3 linked regions of the Arabidopsis thaliana genome follow. The protein of the gene in region 3 interacts with the protein of the main gene of each other region in a pairwise test. Each region holds a gene or a part of one and is shown on either strand. Other genes may lie near its edges.

What was found. The genes of interacting proteins can lie anywhere in the genome.
Region 1: the proteins of AT3G46070 (region 3) and AT1G70000 interact in a two-hybrid assay, tested with the Arabidopsis thaliana proteins (one large-scale study listed by BioGRID).
Region 2: the proteins of AT3G46070 (region 3) and RR16 interact in a two-hybrid assay, tested with the Arabidopsis thaliana proteins (one large-scale study listed by BioGRID).

The regions. Positions count from the first base shown.
Region 1 is NC_003070.9:26,362,134-26,366,379, reverse strand, and holds AT1G70000 (myb-like transcription factor family protein), read left to right. Parts: upstream 1-1,501; 5' UTR 1,502-1,744; coding exon 1,745-2,033; intron 2,034-2,125; coding exon 2,126-2,334; intron 2,335-2,418; coding exon 2,419-2,706; 3' UTR 2,707-3,401; downstream 3,402-4,246.
Region 2 is NC_003071.7:16,968,144-16,972,079, forward strand, and holds RR16 (response regulator 16), read left to right. Parts: upstream 1-1,710; 5' UTR 1,711-2,114; coding exon 2,115-2,277; intron 2,278-2,358; coding exon 2,359-2,444; intron 2,445-2,541; coding exon 2,542-2,619; intron 2,620-2,696; coding exon 2,697-2,770; intron 2,771-2,880; coding exon 2,881-2,977; 3' UTR 2,978-3,091; downstream 3,092-3,936. Other genes in the region: AT2G40660 (Nucleic acid-binding, OB-fold-like protein), read left to right, coding at 6-74, 178-269, 428-491, 619-723. UniProt on the Arabidopsis thaliana protein: Functions as a response regulator involved in His-to-Asp phosphorelay signal transduction system. Phosphorylation of the Asp residue in the receiver domain activates the ability of the protein to promote the transcription of target genes.
Region 3 is NC_003074.8:16,919,669-16,923,003, reverse strand, and holds AT3G46070 (C2H2-type zinc finger family protein), read left to right. Parts: upstream 1-2,046; coding exon 2,047-2,559; downstream 2,560-3,335. Other genes in the region: AT3G46080 (C2H2-type zinc finger family protein), read left to right, coding at 1-251; RABE1c (RAB GTPase homolog 8A), read right to left, coding at 3,264-3,335.

The sequences.
Region 1 (4,246 bases), on a different chromosome or scaffold from region 3:
CCTTTCCGTTTTTGATATTATATAACAATATTTTATATCTTTTAATCGCTAAAAACGAATATTATATAAATGTATTGGATGTCCAAAAAAAAAAATGTGAATGGAGGCTTTCATATGCTATATCACTATCAACCAATCACAGAACATCTTTGACAGAAGGTTACCTATGCACGTACACTACACATACGATGCTCTTTGTTTATATCTTTGCTTATAGTTTATCGATGCTAACCACTGTAAGAATTAAGTAAAGTTAATGCCAATTTAACATTAAGTTAAAATTACTGTAAAAAGTAAATTAGATAGGCTGCCTTTTAAAAAAATTGTTGAATTATAACCATATTTGCTTTTCAAACATGCATGTCCCAAGTAACAGAACAAACAAAAAAAAGAAGAAGTTTGGCGTAATGCTCCTATACCATGGGTTAGTGCTCTCAAGCGGGTCATGTGTACACCAACAATATCAATTTTTGGGTGTTTGCTTTTAACTGAAAAAGTAAACGCATCGAATCTTTATTATGATTTCGATGAATAATGATAAAATTTGGGACAATTTCAATTCAAGTGAGGAAAACGTGTCTGTGCCTTCTTGGTAAATCTAACACTGAAATTTGACACGCAGTTGCTTCTATAGTCAGTAATTCCAATAAAGCATCTAAAATTGCATTTGAATATTTAATCATAGTCGTCCCTATCAATAATTGTCACCAACAAAGATAAAGGGTAAATAAGAAACATATAATGAAAATTGAATGGTCGTAGTTTTATATGTTAGTTGGAACCAAAGATTCTTCAATCTATCATCCACTCAGAGCTACGTGGACAGTCGATATTTTGGGTTATATAAAAAAAAACAAAATTGTACTATAAGACAAAAGAAAACAGTATTAAAAAAAAAAAAATCAATAACAAGATTATATCTTATCCCAATGAACAAAATGAAAATTTAGTTATTTTGAATAATGTTACAGGTTTTAATTAAATTATACTATATCACAAACAGCAAGAGTCAGATACATCGAACGGTCCAGCTTTCCTCCTTTATTTTTTTCTGGCTATCGTTTTGATGCAAAGTTGTTTCGTTAATCGTGAAAATTAAAAAGCTACAGCAATCTTCTCCGAAACTTCATACACTCGCCGACAAGAGAAACTTCATCCACTCGGATTTCTCGTAACTTGCAGCACTAAACATTTCATGAAACTATTCACAAAAGTCCACGAACCTTGCAATTGGCCACAAAATTTAAAATACTTATATACGTAACGACAACCTATCCATATTTTTCTTTCTAACGATCCAAAACTGGCCACGCTTCGACTCCATGGTGATATTAACTAGGGAAGTGGCTAATGGCAAACAAGTGCTTAGAAGTGGTAAATTCAAATAATAACCGTCGATTATTTCTTTCTAACCGTTATTGAGGTTACCAATTAAAAAAAGTGATCACAAACTAGGTCAATGAAAAGGGAGATTTTTTGTTTTCTTTGGGCCAATGAAAATAGAAACTAAGATGGACAAAAGAAAATATTATAATTGGACAAAACAGAGTCATTTGAGATTTAAAACAGAGAAGTAATAAAGGTCAAATGTTTTTGTGGTGAGCTCTCAAAAACAGACATAAAAAAAAGAAGCAGAATCATTCCCATTTATAACAAACCTAAACCTCTCTTTTCTTCTTCTCTTTACCTTTTTCATTCCAAAATCTCTCTCTCTCTCTCTCTCTTTCTCTGGCTCGGGAAGAAGATGTCACGTAGTTGCTCACAGTGTGGAAACAACGGCCACAACTCTCGCACATGTCCGACGGACATAACTACCACCGGTGACAACAACGACAAAGGCGGCGGGGAGAAAGCCATCATGCTTTTTGGCGTCCGCGTCACGGAAGCTTCATCATCTTGTTTTAGAAAAAGTGTTAGTATGAACAATCTCTCTCAATTCGATCAAACTCCTGATCCCAACCCAACCGATGACGGTGGTTACGCTTCAGACGACGTCGTTCACGCCTCCGGTAGAAACCGTGAACGCAAACGAGGTTAATAAAATAACCTTTCTTCTCTCTTTCCCAAATCTCATCTCTGTTTTTGTTTCTTGTTTTTGAAACTTTCTTGCAAATTTGGAATTTAGGAACTCCATGGACAGAGGAAGAACATAGATTGTTTCTTACTGGATTGCATAAAGTTGGAAAAGGTGATTGGAGAGGAATCTCTAGAAACTTTGTTAAAACTCGAACACCTACTCAGGTAGCGAGTCATGCTCAGAAATATTTTCTCCGGCGGACTAATCAGAATCGTCGTCGTCGTAGATCAAGCCTCTTCGATATCACTCCCGATTCGGTAACGTTTCATTCTTTAAAATCTATAATTAAAATCAAGAATCTGTAAGATTATACTAACACATAAGGTTCGATATGTCAACAGTTTATAGGATCATCAAAAGAAGAGAATCAGTTACAGACTCCATTGGAGCTAATCCGTCCAGTTCCGATTCCTATTCCGATTCCACCGTCGCGGAAGATGGCTGATTTGAATCTTAACAAGAAAAAAACTCCAGCGACAACGGAGATGTTTCCGCTGTCGCTGAATTTGCAGAGGCCGTCTTCGTCGACATCGTCATCGTCCAATGAACAGAAGGCACGTGGCTCACGTGCCTCCTCGGGGTTCGAGGCGATGTCGAGTAATGGAGATAGTATAATGGGAGTGGCTTGATGAAGAAGATAATGTTTTAATTAATTTATATTGTATAAGATAAGATCTGGATGATGATTAATTTGAAATTTGAGAATTAGGCTAATTAGATACTTTGATCAGAATCAAGTGAGTTTTTAAGTTTGAATTAGTGTGTACATGTTTTTTTGCTCTTTTTGGGGGAAACGACTTGTCGTTTTTGTTGTTGTATGATGTAAAACAACAGGTAGTCTCTGTGTTGTTTTGGTCAAGACTTGATCAGATTCAGAAGTGAAGACGACTTCAAGCTTAAGATAGTTTAGATGTGTCTTTTGAAAAGTTTAAACAGAATGGTTATTGGGTTAAGGTTAAGTGTATCTCATATGCTTTTTCTATCTTTTTTTTTGGTAAGACTTTTCCAGTAATTTGCCGTTTTCTTCGGGGTGTGTGTTGTTGATAATGTCACATTCATGAACCAAACACAGTTATATTACTTTAGTAACAGTTTTTTTTTGTTTTTTTGTTTGTCGTTTGACGTCATTTTGTTTTATTTATGTTATTACATACATGGATATAATTTATGAAACTGCCAAGAAAACAAAGAATATAATTTGTTGAATTGTTATTGGCCTACCAACTATATCAGCAAGATTCGAATCTATACTTTGTTAAAATGTCTCAATGTAGGACTGGACTGGAGATAAATATAAAGTAATATATAGGGTAAAGTTTCTAAGTCTTGTATAGCATGATTTTTATTAGGGAATAGAATTCTAATTTCATGATGTAATTCAAACAACTGAAATGGAAAATTGTTTAAAACTAGCTAAACTTGTACAGTTGTACTATTTAGAGCCCAAAGTGATAACTGTTTTATGGCTTTTATCCATGCAAAAGAAAAACATCAAAATAAAGTGATGTCCATCACATACATCTTAAATAAAGTAATAATGGGCCTAGCTAAGGTATAGCCCATGGGCTTATTCGCTGATCTAACCAAAGTGTCGCTAATTTTCTTCCTTGTTTTTTTAACGCAAATTTTCTTCCATGTCAATTATGTCTTTTTAATCAAAAATTCCTCCACACCAAAAAAGAACGTAAAAACTAAAAATAGAACAAATTCAACTACACTCAGATAATCGAATTGCTATGTCCAATATCCAAAACATTTCAAGCCATTTAGTGCTCTCACTAAACATATTTTAACAAAATATGAAATAACATTCCCAAAATTGCGATCAAAAGGCTAGAAACATCTTCAACAATTATGACAGTCCTAAACCAACAGTTCAAACACGTTTTATATCTGTTTGGCCAAATTAAACGAATATAACATAAAAATACGATTGATCTTAGACAATTACTAAAGTTTCTAAATAATAATCTATACTTTCACAAAACAAGAAATACAAATTGATTCTTGCGCAGAAAGTGCTTTGGTACCTACTTTTTTTACCACCTTTCCTTTTCAATTGAGACATCAACACATTCACTAAAACAAACTCTCAAACTGCTCTAAACGACACCGTTTAGTTACAGATAACTTTACTTGTATTTAAAGTCACCAAAAGTTTGAATTTTT
Region 2 (3,936 bases), on a different chromosome or scaffold from region 3:
TGAAGAACCGCCTCGTTGCACTCATCACAAATGTCAAACCTGGAAAGCTAAGAGATGTAATGTCACAAGGACTGGTAATACTCTCTTCTGTCTGCCTCAATCCAGCTCATCAGCTATCAAAATATTTCACACTCTCACATTTGCTCATTTTCTGTGTTTTTGATTTCTTTGCTGCAGGTTCTTTGTGCTTCAAGTGAAGATCACTCGGTGGTAGAGCCGTTGCTACCACCTGCTGGTGCTAAACCAGGAGAGCGTGTTTCATTTTCAGGGTACATAGTTTTAACAATATAACATCGAACCTCTTTGATTGCTTTATTTACATGTTTCCCCTCCAGCCATTAAACTCATATATGCTCTTTTCTTTTTATTTTATTGTTGTTCTTGTTTATCTCAAACTCAAGAACCCTTTATCGAAATGTTTATATAGGATTGAAGGAAAGCCAGAAGATGTACTGAACCCAAAAAAGAAGCAACTAGAGAAGATAACACCGGTATGTGTTTTTTGCCCTTTATTAGGTTCCAGACTTAAACAAACCGAAGATGCGAGTACTGTGTTTGCATTATTATACGTAAACATTCAATCTCACGAGGACTTCGGTTAATCACATGCATTTGCAGGGTCTCTACACTGATGAAAATGGCGTAGCCACATACAAAGGCATACAATTCATGACCTCGGCTGGACCTTGCACTTCCAGCATCCCCAAGGCGACCATCAAGTAGTAAACTCAGTTGATACTTCTCTCCTCTACTCTAGCGTTTTTCTTTGATATTCGCAAACTCAGTTGGAAAAAGAAAAGATGTTCTTTTTGTCACAATTCGAATTAATCTAAAAACTTTCTTCTTATTAGCTTTTTGACAAACATCATTGTTTCAATTTCCCTTTTGAGAACTCTCTGCTACTAGATACTTAGTTCCATTTTCTTTGTTCACTCCTTTCGTTCAAGCTGTGCAAGTCCACCATTGGATTGCAACGTATTACCTACAAATATCCACTTAGCTACTTATGGGGTTTTTTCAATCAGATAAACCAAGCCATTCACTCTGGATTGAACTATCAAACCAATTGTGTTCAAATAAACTTGCAAATTACTTCAATTAGAAGAAACAACCTCCTTTTGTTTTGATTCGACGTAGATGATCTTACAAGGAAGGATGATAAAGAATCTTAGACCTGGCCCATGGGGATCTCTAAAAGAGATTGGTGGTCCATTTGTGACAAAAAGTCATTACCTGTTTCCATTTATTCCAAGGATTTGAACCCGAAAAATAATAATGAAAAAGTTGATATCTAAAGAATTATCTTATCAGCTTACAAGATCCTGAAACAGATCCGTACGACTGTCACCGGACACATATGTTTCTTTATTTAGTTTCACAAAGAATCAGTCCTCCAAAACACACAACTTCTTTCTTATATTAAACACACACAAAATCTTTATTCTTGTCCCAAAAAACAATTATGATCTTTTTTGAGGTTCTTTGGCTTTTATTATACGATTTTTCTTCAAATCATATCAGATTGTTACCGAATAAATCTTTTTCATATCATATTTTCAGTTCTATGAATCTACTACAATTTTTTAATTTTAAAGTGGTCCAAAAGAAAAGAAAAAAAGAAACCCCACACGATTCGAAGAACATGTCCTAACAAGTAACACAATACAAAAAGACAAGTATATGCAACTTTAAATCTATAACGACTGGTACTGAAACTAAAACCCCTAAAAATAAGAGATCACGAAATATCCGTGATATTCTTTGATGCAATCTCTTCCCCATTGCTCTCTGTTTTTATTTACTTTTAAAAATTATTCTGCAGAATTATATATAGTTGGGAAATCATAATGGAAAATTCTTCACCCACCTAAAAAATCAAAGAAACCATCATAAATACCATCACCAGAGATTCACATGATTCATGCATACACACTTCTGAGTCTGTCACTTTCTTCTTCATTGTTTGTGTTTTGTCTTTTTGATTTATTTTTGTTGAAGATGGAGAACTAAAAGCAATGTCTGCAAGGTCTTTATATTAATGCTAGAGTCAGTCTCGCTTATTATCAAGTTGTTTTCTTTATCAGTTACTTGACATTTAAGGAACAAAGGAGATCATGAACAGTTCAGGAGGTTCTTGTTCGTCTTTAATGGATGTGGTGGCTTATGATCATCATCTTCATCATGGTCATGATGAAGAGCTTCATGTTTTAGCTGTAGATGATAATCTTATTGACCGTAAACTCGTTGAGAGGTTGCTCAAGATCTCTTGTTGCAAAGGTTCAATCATTTTACCTTTCATGTTTTATAATCAATCATTACTTTATGCAATCTTTGTCTCTAAAATGTGAATTTTTGCAGTGACAACAGCAGAGAATGCGCTTAGAGCATTGGAGTATTTGGGTTTGGGAGATCAAAATCAGCATATTGATGCATTGACCTGTAACGTAAGCAAAAAAAAAACATATAAAATCTTCAAGATCTATGGATTTTTTTCCTTAGGACATATTTGATATTAGGTTTATATATGTGTGGATTTTCTAGGTTATGAAGGTGAGTCTAATCATCACCGATTACTGTATGCCTGGAATGACAGGTTTTGAGCTACTCAAGAAAGTGAAGGTAATTATATAACAGCTTCTTGGAACCAATATCCAGAGATTTATATTAACCTAAAAATCTTCTGTGTGTTTCTTTAGCAGGAGTCATCAAATCTGAGAGAGGTTCCTGTTGTGATAATGTCTTCAGAGAATATTCCTACTCGCATAAACAAGTAAGAACAAATTGAGATCAGATTAAGAACTTGTTTCTGTGTTTCTTATAGTGTAAGTAATTAGTAAAGATCATCAATCTTAATGTTCTGTTTTGGTCTTTTGAAAGCAGATGTTTAGCGAGTGGAGCTCAAATGTTTATGCAGAAGCCTTTGAAGCTTGCTGATGTTGAGAAGCTTAAATGTCATCTCATGAACTGCAGAAGCTAACCATGAGAGATTTATAATGTTAGCCCTAACCATGAAACGTTTTCATTGTGTCTTGATTCCTTATTTGATTATTTTACATGTTTTTCTTGAAATCAAGAAATGTTTTCACATGCCCTATAGTAATCTTTATACACAAAAGGAATCATAAAAAGTGGTTGTGGTGATGAAGATGATGACGATGTCTTCTCTCTTCCAATCCTAAACATCGAATAAATGGATAACATGAGAGGAAGAAACATCTCTTTATTCCTCTAACCATTGAAAATGGAGGCCACACGCAACAACAACAACATTGATGAGTCTCTTCTATCGTTGTTTCTTTCTCTTTTCTTCTTCCTCTTCTCTTATCTCTTTTGCGGCCATTGTTGCACAATATTGACATCGTTTCTGCGTGAAAAGAAGAGTAAGAATCTTGTGCAGCAAGAAAGGTCTAGAATTTCAATTTAGAACAGAAAAAATTAATACGAGAGAAAAAAAAGAGCAAAGGATCTTAACTGAATCACGATGAGATTCATATAAGAGTACAATCCTGTTTTTCTTCTCTTACCTCGGAAAATTCACCGGAATCTTATGAATGGGCTCGAAAATCTTTGGCAAGGAAGATTAATGGTGAGAGAAGATGATGAATCTCTTTCTTCTCCGAGAGACAGAGAGAGAGAGTCGAAAGTCGAGACGCAGAGGAGAAATTGTCTCCTCCGGAGACTTGTACGTCTCCATGGAAGCTTTCAACATCATAACACGTGTCATTTCATATGTGTCTCCGTTCTCATTACTTTAGATCGGACCAAACCTACCAATCTTTTTTATGTTTTTTATTTTATATGTTTTGTTTATGTGCATGATGTTATTATTTTTCTTTCTTTTTCTGATTTGTGTATGTACCGCACGATTTCTCGTAGTATACACATGATTTGTATTTGAGACTGAAATAAAACCATGCTATACGTAGATTTGGTACT
Region 3 (3,335 bases):
CGACGTCTCATCCTTGTCCGATATGTGGCGTGGAGTTTCCGATGGGGCAAGCTCTTGGTGGTCACATGAGGAGACATAGGAGTGAGAAAGCCTCACCAGGCACGTTGGTTACACGTTCTTTTTTACCGGAGACGACGACGGTGACGACTTTGAAAAAATCGAGTAGTGGGAAGAGAGTGGCTTGTTTGGACTTAGATTCGATGGAGAGTTTAGTCAATTGGAAGTTGGAGTTGGGAAGAACGATTTCTTGATTCGTTTTATTTCTTCATATTCGTTATAGGGTTTTAACATATTTTCATACAGTTTCATATTGTAATCTTTGTAGATCCATTTATCTTACCGATCGATGTGAATATTATTTTGATATACACTATTGGAGTTTACATTCAATGTACACTAATTTTCTTGTTTTCTTTAAATTAGCCCTTGAAGTTTGATCTATGAATGGTTTAAGTAGTGTTGAAACTTGAAACCATTATATGTGTGGTCAACTTCAACAACAAGAAAACAATTGAAACAAGTATAACCAGAGACAAGACTAAGCTAACCAACCTCTCTCCACTCTCTCTTACAAGAATCGCACATCCAAGGGAAGAAATTGTTAAAAAAAGGTTCAAATTAGTTAATCTTCAAGTTTGGATCGTTCTAATAAGTAGTTATGATTCCTAAATGTTCTCAAAGTTTTTCTTGTTTTCAGTTTTTTTTTTTGGCACCCGTTATCTTTAGATTATAGACTAATATTAAAAGAATTATCAACTATTCAAATTTTTAATCGTCAAACTAGAGATTGAATCATTGCATTGAGATTTGAATAATGTGTCGAATATAAATAATGAAGTTAAAATTAATTTAAACAGTCAAACTAGCACATAAAATAAATAGGTAAGATGCTTAGAGAAGTCTGTGTGTAGTAAACTTCAACAATAAAATGTTTCTATTAATTTTAATTTTATATGTATTCTTATATTAGATATTAGCTAAATGCTTACAGATATAACATCCTTGTCTCTATTTGCTTATTTAGTGGGAGATGAATATGAGAGATAAACCTAATTTGTGAATAAAAACATGTGAAGAGATTTGTGGTAAGAAGAAACCGCGTGGAAGTGTATCAAAAATGTCGCATCAAACCACTCTCTCATTTTCTTTTTTTCTTCTGCTTTGCTTCTAATAGTTTCCCTCTAGTTTCCGTACAACCACTATTTTCACACTTTTTATTCGTTCCCTTCTCGGTGACTCGTGCGAGAGCCACACACCTCTACTTGTCCCTCATTTACGTACGTTACTGTGACAAAATCTTAGTTAGATAATGACACGATGATCTTCTCAAGTCTTGAGTTCTATTGATCATTGCGAATAAAAAGACGTAGGTCAGAAGATTCCGAAGTATATACAAATGAATAATATGCGTGTAAGTGTAATTACTAGGACATGAGTTTCACAAATAAACTGAACATAAATATTGACTATCGAACCAACAAAAAGTTCTAGAAGTATGTCGACTATGAATAAGTTTTTTTCTTTTTCTTGGTGATAAATGAATACGGATAAGTTACGTACCAAGTAGATTTGCCCAATCTCAAATAGTAAAAGGCGGCTTAAGAAGGAACACGAACCCGAAGAGACCGCGTTAGAATAAAATATTTATTAAGATAATTACAATATTTTTTATATATAATATACATATTTATATATTAATTAAAACTTGTTTTTTTTATAAAAATAATTAAAACTGGTTATAGTACGTCTTTCAATATTTGTCTAATTAGTGGAGGAAAGCAATAAGAATATATTCTTTCACAAATGAATATTTCCATTTTTCCGAGTTTTTAGTGTTAAAGCGGTGACTCTGATTTTCTACATGTACATCTTTACACCGCAGCTTCAATTTTTACTAACTTAGGCAGCAAGTCTTGAGAGGGTATTTTCGTCAATTAAAACCGTCTTTACTCAATCCAGTCTCCTATATATAAGAGGAGTGAGTCAACACACACAAGCATAAAACAAAACCCTAGAAAGTCACTCGCTCGATTCGAAACTAAAATCATGGTTGCTGAAAGTGATAATCGTGATCTGACGGTGGATACGGCGGCGAGCTGTCTGATGTTGTTATCAGGAATTGGAGAACACGACGGAAGAAAGAAACGTGTTTTCCGATGCAAGACTTGTGAGAGAGACTTCGATTCGTTCCAAGCTTTAGGAGGCCACCGTGCAAGCCACTCGAAACTAACCAACAGTGACGATAAATCACTTCCTGGATCACCAAAGAAGAAGCCTAAAACTACGACTACGACGACGGCTCATACTTGTCCGATTTGTGGCTTGGAGTTTCCGATGGGACAAGCTCTTGGTGGTCACATGAGGAAACATAGGAACGAGAAAGAACGAGAAAAGGCTTCTAACGTATTGGTTACGCATTCTTTCATGCCGGAGACGACAACGGTGACGACTTTGAAGAAATCGAGTAGTGGGAAGAGAGTGGCGTGTTTGGATTTCGACTTAACTTCGGTGGAGAGCTTTGTCAACACGGAATTGGAGTTGGGAAGAACGATGTACTGATTTTTCATGTTCGTTAGGGTTTTAGTTTTATTGATAATCTTACATAGAGTAGTACTTTTTACATGGTTTTAGTCTTTGTTGATCCATTTATCTTACTATTCGATGTGAATACATGATCTGAATACAATCTGATATACTATTCAAGATTTATTTTCTTGTTCGCTAAATTTTGGTTTCACGTTTTATTAACCCTAGAATGTTGTTGAACTATGAGAATGGTTTAACTGGTGTTGAAACTACAATATAAGTGTCAGCTATAGTAACTGTAGTGCAACTAAAACATGATAAGTTTCTTCATCACTGGATTGCTAACACAATTATACGTTTACGACTCATAAATCAGGCAGTGTACATATTATGGTTTTGTATTGCTTATGGTTGTGTCAAAGATGAGTTTACGAGTATTAGAAGTAATGTTTAAAGACTTGATAAAAGAGGAAGCAAGAGAAAAATTAAGAACAGAGGATATATAGAGAGAAGTGATGACCAACATAAACAATTCAGTCACCGTCATAAAAAATCAGTAATAGAAAAGAAAAATACAAGTTTCGATTAAACCTTCGTACAAATAGGAAGGACAATTTAGAAGAACGAATCAGAATTGTTGGCATAAAACAAAAAATTACATAAGCACCCAACGATATCTTAGTTTTTCACTTCACCCCCAAACTTTTTTCGACTTAAACTTCACTTTTAAAACTTTTTTAAGTTCCACAGCATGCAGATTTCTGTGTGGCCTGCCCTGCTCCAGCTGCTTGGTCCGTTTGGCTTATCTT